Cricetulus griseus: one gene and its partner. The protein of the gene in region 1 purifies or fractionates together with the protein of each later gene. This does not show direct contact. Links are inferred from orthologs where the notes say so. Each region holds a gene or a part of one and is shown on either strand. Other genes may lie near its edges.

Region 1 (3,905 bases):
CCTGTCTACCTAGATTTCTGTGGGCACAGACCACTTGGGAAATGCCCATAAGGGCAAGAGTAGCTCTAAGAAAGCTGCATTAGAAATAAAAAGGAATGTGACACCAATGATGAGTTGCATGTTTGCAGAGGGACACAAGACGTTCTCGGGCAACATGGTGGTCTGAAGTGGTGTTGGTGACCGCCCTTGTACACGCTCACCGTTTTGTCTGTTCATATGCACAATTACATACATATGTAACACAATACAGAATCTTAGTGTTAAGAGCCTTTTAAGATCAGGCACCCTGTTGGGCCGTAGTGGTGCACGCCTTTAATCTCAGAATCCCAGCACTTGGGAGACAGAGGCAGGCAGATCTGTGTAAGTTCGAGGTCAGCCTGGTCTACAGAGAGAAACCCTGTCTCGAAAAAAAACAAAACAACAGAGTTTCCAATAACTCCTTGCTGCTTTTAATATTCCCAGGGAGGTTTGCAAGTTGGAAGAGGGGAGGGCATTACGTTGCCACTCTTCCCATACAGTGACTGAGTATATTAATCCTGCTGTCCATCTTTTAGCCCTAGTTTCCTTCTTGGATAGGAATCGTACTCCCTGTTTCATAAGGGGCCACACTTGCCTACATTAGATACCCTCATCATTACTTCAGAGGGCGAATGGCTGAGACACCAAAACAAAAACATCACATACCAACTGGAAAGGAGCCCTTAGTAAAATTTTTGTTGAATGAATGAGTAAAACGAAGGCACAGTATACGAATGCTCCTTCCCCATGGCGCTGGAGTGAAAAATGTGACAGTCCCATCTCTGGTACCAGGATCTCCCACTAGCACCCGGACCTCCCCGCCCACGTCCAGACAAGGAGTGAGACGGAGAGATGCGCACAGGCTCGGCCTTGAGCCCAGAGTTGAGAGCCGGCTGGCCCGGTTGCCATGGCACCGCCTGGTGCTCCACCCTCCCTCGCCCCCACACACCCCCTCGGCAGTCAGGGACTGGCGGCGGGTCACGTGGTAGGCGGCGTAGCCACGCCTCTGCTTCCCAGCGCAGAGCTGAGGGGTCACGTGGGATAGCAACAGGTCACGTGCCCGAGCGAGTTTCGCCCCCCCCATCCCAGGTCATCCACTGCGCATGCATGGATGGATGGATGGATGGATGGAGACCACGTGTCCGCCGCGAACGTCCGGCGTTCGCCCCCCCCCCCCGGTTTCCGCGCGCCTCCCTGGCTGCTGGTCACATGGGGAGGGTGGGGGTGAGGGGGGCCTCTCTAGCTCGCGGCCCGTGTCTATGGTCTGGCCCGTAGCGTCCAGCTGCCCGGGACCGATCCCCGGTGTATGGCGCCGCAGGAACCGGCTCCCGGGCCCAGATAAAGGGCCACCTCCGCAGCTCTTGGCCGGGCGAGAGGTGAGTGCAGCCGCTTGCAGGGATGGGGCCCGGCGCCCCGCCACCACCCTATGGATCCCCTCGTTGTGGAAGGATGGCCCAAGGGCGGGAAGCGGGGCCTTTGTGGTCGCGGCCAGCGTGTGATTTTAGGGAATAAAGTGTGCAACCTTCGATGCCAACGCCGTGCATTGTGATGGTCTTCTTTGTGCCCGGTGCGATGTCCCGTTCTCCCCCCTCCTCCTCCCCGGGAGGAATGCATTCTTTTTCGCCCCTCCGGGACATCACGTGGCTGGAGGGCTCGGTGGGAGAGTCTTTTGTGTTACCTGAGGCGCGGCACTCTGGCAGCGTGGAGGGAGGGGATGGGCGGCTGTGTCGGTGCGGTCGTGGGCAGGAATTCCTTTGTTACTGCTGGGTCATCCCCCCTCCTAGCTGTGAAGGAAAGGAGGGCTTGGTTTTAGAAGCCTCTGTGATTGTAGGAGATCTCCCTGCTCCGAGAATGGCTACCTCCCGCTATGAACCGGTGGCTGAAATCGGTGTTGGTGCCTATGGGACGGTATACAAGGCCCGAGATCCCCACAGTGGCCACTTTGTGGCCCTCAAGAGTGTGCGAGTTCCCAACGGAGGGGGAGCTGGAGGGGGCCTTCCCATCAGCACTGTACGCGAGGTGGCCTTACTGAGGCGGTTGGAGGCCTTCGAGCACCCCAATGTTGTACGGTGAGGAGGTTGGATTGGGAGTGGGGAGGAAAGAATGGGATCTGTAAGCCAGGGGTGTGGTCGTCGGGAGTGGGACCCTAGGACTCCAGAGGCCACGTTGGAACAAAGGACATTGACCGGCTGGCGACTGTTTATTTTTGTCAGGCTAATGGATGTCTGTGCTACCTCCCGAACTGATCGAGACATCAAGGTCACTCTCGTGTTTGAGCATATAGATCAGGATCTGAGGACATACCTGGATAAAGCACCCCCACCAGGCTTGCCAGTTGAGACCATCAAGGTGAGCGGGCTGCTCGGTGAGAGGTGGATCCGGGTCTTTGTAGTAGGGACTCTTGGGGTTTTTGAGCGTGTTACATGGTGTCCGGGGCTTTCTCCTTCAAAACCAGGACCTGATGCGACAGTTTCTAAGCGGCCTGGATTTTCTTCATGCAAATTGCATTGTTCACCGAGACCTGAAACCGGAGAACATTCTGGTGACTAGTAATGGGACAGTCAAGCTGGCTGACTTTGGCCTGGCCAGAATCTACAGCTACCAGATGGCCCTCACACCTGTGGTGAGTGGAAAGATGGCAGCCCCAATGGGATTCGGCTTTAGGTAGTACTTGATTTCCCGTAGCAGCTGAGGTGTGTTGTGCTTGACGTTCTCAAAGCCCAGCAGCTATGAGCCATGAAAAGGACTCTCACTCGTTTCTCCTCTTCTGTTTAGGTTGTTACACTCTGGTACCGTGCTCCTGAAGTTCTTCTGCAGTCTACATACGCAACACCCGTGGACATGTGGAGCGTTGGCTGTATCTTTGCAGAGATGTTTCGTCGAAAGTACGGGGCTTGAAACTTTTGTTTTTTAAGACAGGGTAGCCCTGGCTGTCCTGTGACTCCCTCGGAGATCCGCCTGCCGCCACCACCTGGCTCAGGGTGTGGAACTCTTAGGTCCCTTCAGTTACACAAATCTTTTGATGTTACTTATGGTGTTAGAGGTTGAAATCAGAACTGCACATACACTGGGCAAATGCTCTATACCACTAAACTACACTCCCCGCCCCTGGGTCTTTTTACAAGACATACCCGTTCTTGACCATTTTTGTGCATATGGCACTGGACGCCCCAACCTAGGCTCTTGTATTTATCAGGCGCGTGCCCTGCCACCCAGCTATAGTCCCAACCTATCCTGTTTATGTTCACCAACTTGCCTAAAACCAGAAACGATGCAGGCAAATTTCCTGAAATGTCTAGGAATTAGGAACTTTGTGTTCCCTTATTCTCCGTCCTCTCTAATCTCAGCCACTTTGATTATCATTCCCTTATTTCTGAAATAATATATACTTGGAATATTTTTCTACCTTAGGCCTCTCTTCTGTGGAAACTCTGAAGCTGACCAGTTGGGCAAAATCTTTGAGTAAGTGTCCAATAAAGGGGAAAGAAATCCCCCCCCCCCTTTTTGTTTGTTTTTTTCGAGGCAGGGTTTCTCTGTGGCTTTGGAGGCTGTCCTGGAACTAGCTCTTGTAGACCAGGCTGGTCTACAAGATCTCAAACTCACAGAGATCCGCCTGCCTCTGCCTCCCAAGTGCTGGGATTAAAGGCATGAGTCACCACCGCCCGGCTAAAATTCCCCATTCTTAATTCAGTTTCTGCTCAATTCCAAATGGCAGTTGGCCCTGGAGATGGAAACTGGAAAAAGCCCCCCTGACCAGATTTGTGTTATCCCTACAGTCTCATTGGATTGCCCCCAGAAGATGACTGGCCTCGAGAGGTATCTCTTCCCCGAGGAGCCTTTTCCCCCAGAGGGCCGCGGCCTGTGCAGTCGGTGGTACCGGAGATGGA
Region 2 (3,905 bases), on another chromosome or scaffold:
ACCTCCACGGCCGCGATCCAGGTGGAGAATGAGCCCGTCGCCAACGCCACGTGGCTGGGGAGACTATGCAGGCAAACTCCTACCCAAGCTGCGAGCCTGCAGGCGGCGCGGCCCCGAGGATCCCCGGGACCCGACAGGGTACTCCCAGGGGGTGCTCAGACTCCGTAGCCAGGGACTGGACACTCAGGCGACGGAGATTGGCGCCCACCCGAATGACAGGAGGGAAAGAAACCTGTGGCTTTAGGCTCCTGACTAAGGATCCCGCTTGGGGATCCCGCTCACCTCCTCTCTGTCTCTGTCTTTCTCTCTCCCTCCCTCTCTCTCCCACACCCTGCCCTCTCCCCGCCCCCGCGCGCTTGCCCTGGTGTCCTGTTCCCCGAGTCTCGGAGGACCCACCCGCCGGTCCCGAGGTCCCAAGCGCTCGGCTAGAGGCTCCACACCAGGCAGCAGCGCCCGCCTTGGAAGCCTAGCAACCCCGGCGCTCTGGCCGGGAGACGTAATTAAAAAGAAAGTTTTCCAGCCGGAGCGGATGGACCGGCCAGGTCCTCGGGACTCCCGGGTTAGCGGCCGCCTTCGCTCCCTGCTGGGTCCTAGCGCCCTGCTCGGCGGATCCCGCGGGACCCCGGGGTAGGGAGGCTGGCTGGGCGGGGAAGAGGCGCCCCGCCTGGAATAATCAGCGGGGTCGCCTGGAGTGGAGAGAGAGAGACACACACAATCTCAGCGCTCCGGCCCCTGCCACTCTGCGGCGCGCGCCAGGTCGCCGCTCCAAAGCAAGTCACAAAGCAGCTAGGTCCCTGGCTGGGGGGGGGGGGGGGACAGGCCTAGTCCTAGCCTTTAAGACCAGTCTGCACCCCGGTAGCTCAAGACGAATATTCCCTCTCCACCCCCTACCCCTACCCCTCCCTGCTCGGCCTCTGGATGCTCCCGGGCTCCCCGGTGTTGGCTGGAAGCGGGTGACTTGGGCAGGCTTGCAGGAGGGGCGCCCAGCCGCGGACCACGTGTGTGCGGGGGCGACAGCGCCGCCAGGGTGGGGCCGAGCGCAGGCCGGGCTGCCTCGCAGCGCAGGAGGCAGTGGGCGTTGCGCCACCGCCTCTCCCCCTGCACGGTGCTCCCGCCCCGCTCGCCGCCTGGGAGAAACACAGAGGGCGAGCGAGAGACAGACAGCGGGCTCTAAGACCCAGCAGGCGCCCTGCTGCCCTCGCCCTGGGCCCGGGACCCTCTTGGACACCAGGGGGCGACGTCCGATCCCCCTATAAGAGCGGATCGCGCGCGGGCCTGACCATTCGCGACCCGGAGCTGCGCGGGGCGCGCGAGCGAGTCGGGGGCTCCGGCGGGGCGGGCGGCGAGCGGGCGGCGGTGAGCGGGCGAGCGGCGGCGGAGGCAGCGGCGCCACGCGCAGGCTGGAGGCCGCCGTGAGGCTCGCCATGCCGGGAGAACTCTAACTCCTCCATGGAGCCGGCCGACTTCTACGAGGCGGAGCCGCGGCCCCCGATGAGCAGCCACCTCCAGAGTCCCCCGCACGCGCCCACCAGCAGCAGCAGCAGCAGCAGTAGCAGCGCCGCCTTCGGCTTCCCCCGGGGCGCGGGCCCCGCGCCTCCCCCAGCCCTACCTGCTGCCCCGGAGCCGCTGGGCGGCATCTGCGAGCACGAGACGTCCATAGACATCAGCGCTTACATCGACCCGGCCGCCTTCAACGACGAGTTCCTGGCCGATCTCTTCCAGCACAGCCGGCAGCAGGAGAAGGCCAAGGCGGCCGCGGGCCCCGCGGGTGGCGGCGGCGGCGGCGGCGGTGACTTTGACTACCCGGGCGCCCCGACGGGCCCCGGCGGCGCGGTCATGTCCGCGGGGGCGCACGGGCCCCCTCCGGGCTACGGCTGCACGGCGGCCGGCTACCTGGACGGCAGGCTGGAGCCCCTGTACGAGCGCGTCGGGGCGCCGGCGCTGCGGCCGCTGGTGATCAAGCAGGAGCCCCGCGAGGAGGACGAGGCCAAGCAGCTGGCGCTGGCCGGCCTCTTCCCCTACCAGCCGCCGCCGCCGCCGCCGCCGGTGCACCCGCACGCGTCTCCCGCGCACCTGGCCGCCCCGCACCTGCAGTTCCAGATCGCGCACTGCGGCCAGACCACCATGCACCTGCAGCCCGGCCACCCCACGCCGCCGCCCACGCCCGTGCCCAGCCCGCACCCCGCGCCCGCTTTGGGGGCTGCGGGCCTGCCCGCCCCCGGGGGTGCGCTCAAGGGTTTGGCTGGCGCGCACCCCGACCTCCGCCCCGGGGGCGCCGGGGGCGCCGGCGGCGCAGGCGCGGGCAAGGCCAAGAAGTCGGTGGACAAGAACAGCAACGAGTACCGGGTGCGGCGGGAACGCAACAACATCGCGGTGCGCAAGAGCCGCGACAAAGCCAAGCAGCGCAACGTGGAGACGCAGCAGAAGGTGCTGGAGCTGACCAGTGACAATGACCGCCTGCGCAAGCGGGTGGAGCAGCTGAGCCGGGAACTGGACACGCTGCGGGGCATCTTCCGCCAGCTGCCCGAGAGCTCCCTGGTCAAGGCCATGGGCAACTGCGCGTGAGGCGCGCGGCTGCGGGACCCCACCGCCTTTGGGCCGGCCACCCCACCCCACCCCTGGCCGGGGACCCGGAGAATGAGTTCGGGTCGCTGCATCTCCAGGCTGCCCCGGGCCCGTGAAAGCCAGGACTAGGAGATGGCGGTGTTGTCGTCTGAGAGCTTGGCCTACTCCGCGTGTCCCCTCCCTTCCTCTGAGCCGGGACTCGGTGCGTCTAAGATGAGGGAGTCAGGCCGCAGTTTTTCTCCTGGAGCCCGGGAGACTTGTCCGCGGAGCTGAGCCGGGAGCCCGCCCGGCCGTTCTAGTATTAAGTAAGGAAGTCACCCTGTGCCTTGGATACTCAGAACTCGCTCCTTTTCCTACCGAGTAGGGGGAGCACACATGTGCCTTGATATTTTATTTGGAGGATCCCTGCCTTCTCCGAGGCTGCGGCAGGCCCCCCCCCATGAGAGCATGAAGGGTGCAGGCCCAGGGCAGGAGAAAGAAGATTCAGGAAGCTGAGATCCCGGCAGGCAGCGCTCCGCTGCTGCCCCTCCGTCCCTGTCCTTAGAGGGGAGGGACTTAGGGAGTTGGGGATTTGAGTCTGTAAGAGTACCCCTCCCGCACCCCTCCCCCTCATCCATTTGGAGGTGCACGGTTCTTACTTTTCCCACCTCCACCTTTACTCCGCACCTCAGCTTGCAACAGGCTAAGTTTCCTGGGTGAGTTCGTGGAGAATGGGGGGCGCCACCCCCAGCTAGACCAGAAAGCTAGGCTGTAAGTTAGCCATGTGATTAAGGGAGTAGTGGGAGACGGGAACCTAAGTTTCTGGTCTTGGGGGGAGAGGGGATGAAAGGACACCGGGACCATCAGCCTTGTGTGTACTGTATGTCGCCAGCCGCTGTTGCTGAAGGAACTTGAAGCACAATCGATCCATCCCAGAGGGACTGGAGTTATGACAAGCTTCCCAAATATTTTGCTTTATCATCCGATATCAACACTTGTATCTGGTCTCTGTGTCCCAGCGGTGCCTTGTGCAATGTCAATGTCCACGTCTATGCTAAACCACCATTTTATTTGGTCCTTTTGTTTTGTTTTGGTTTTGCTCAGATTCTTGCCAAAATGAGACTCTTCGCTAGCGGCTGGGGGAAGAAGCTCGGGCCCTCTTTCCTTTTTGGTTTGGGGATTTTTTTTTTTTCTTTTGCTCCCGGAGGACCACCACCCTCCCTCCAGTTTTCCCAGGGTGTCGTTGTGGGTCTTAGCTTCTTCCAGCTGAGACTACTGTATACACAGGCATCCTCCCCCGCCCCCACCCTCAGGCCCTGGCTCTGGGTCTGGAAAGAAGGTCACCTCCAGCCAATTCGTGC

The links.
Region 2: the proteins of Cdk4 (region 1) and CCAAT/enhancer-binding protein alpha purify together in Homo sapiens (affinity purification with western blotting; 3 studies listed by BioGRID, with this or other methods). This does not show direct contact. The link is inferred for Cricetulus griseus from reciprocal best matches to the Homo sapiens genes CDK4 and CEBPA.

Annotation. Positions count from the first base shown.
Region 1 is NW_023276806.1:130,641,339-130,645,243, reverse strand, and holds the start of Cdk4 (cyclin-dependent kinase 4), read left to right. Parts: upstream 1-1,236; 5' UTR 1,237-1,394; intron 1,395-1,849; 5' UTR 1,850-1,869; coding exon 1,870-2,087; intron 2,088-2,231; coding exon 2,232-2,367; intron 2,368-2,473; coding exon 2,474-2,641; intron 2,642-2,793; coding exon 2,794-2,903; intron 2,904-3,429; coding exon 3,430-3,480; intron 3,481-3,794; coding exon 3,795-3,905.
Region 2 is NC_048602.1:3,363,968-3,367,872, reverse strand, and holds the start of CCAAT/enhancer-binding protein alpha, read left to right. Parts: upstream 1-1,325; 5' UTR 1,326-1,449; coding exon 1,450-2,565; 3' UTR 2,566-3,905. UniProt on the Homo sapiens protein: Transcription factor that coordinates proliferation arrest and the differentiation of myeloid progenitors, adipocytes, hepatocytes, and cells of the lung and the placenta.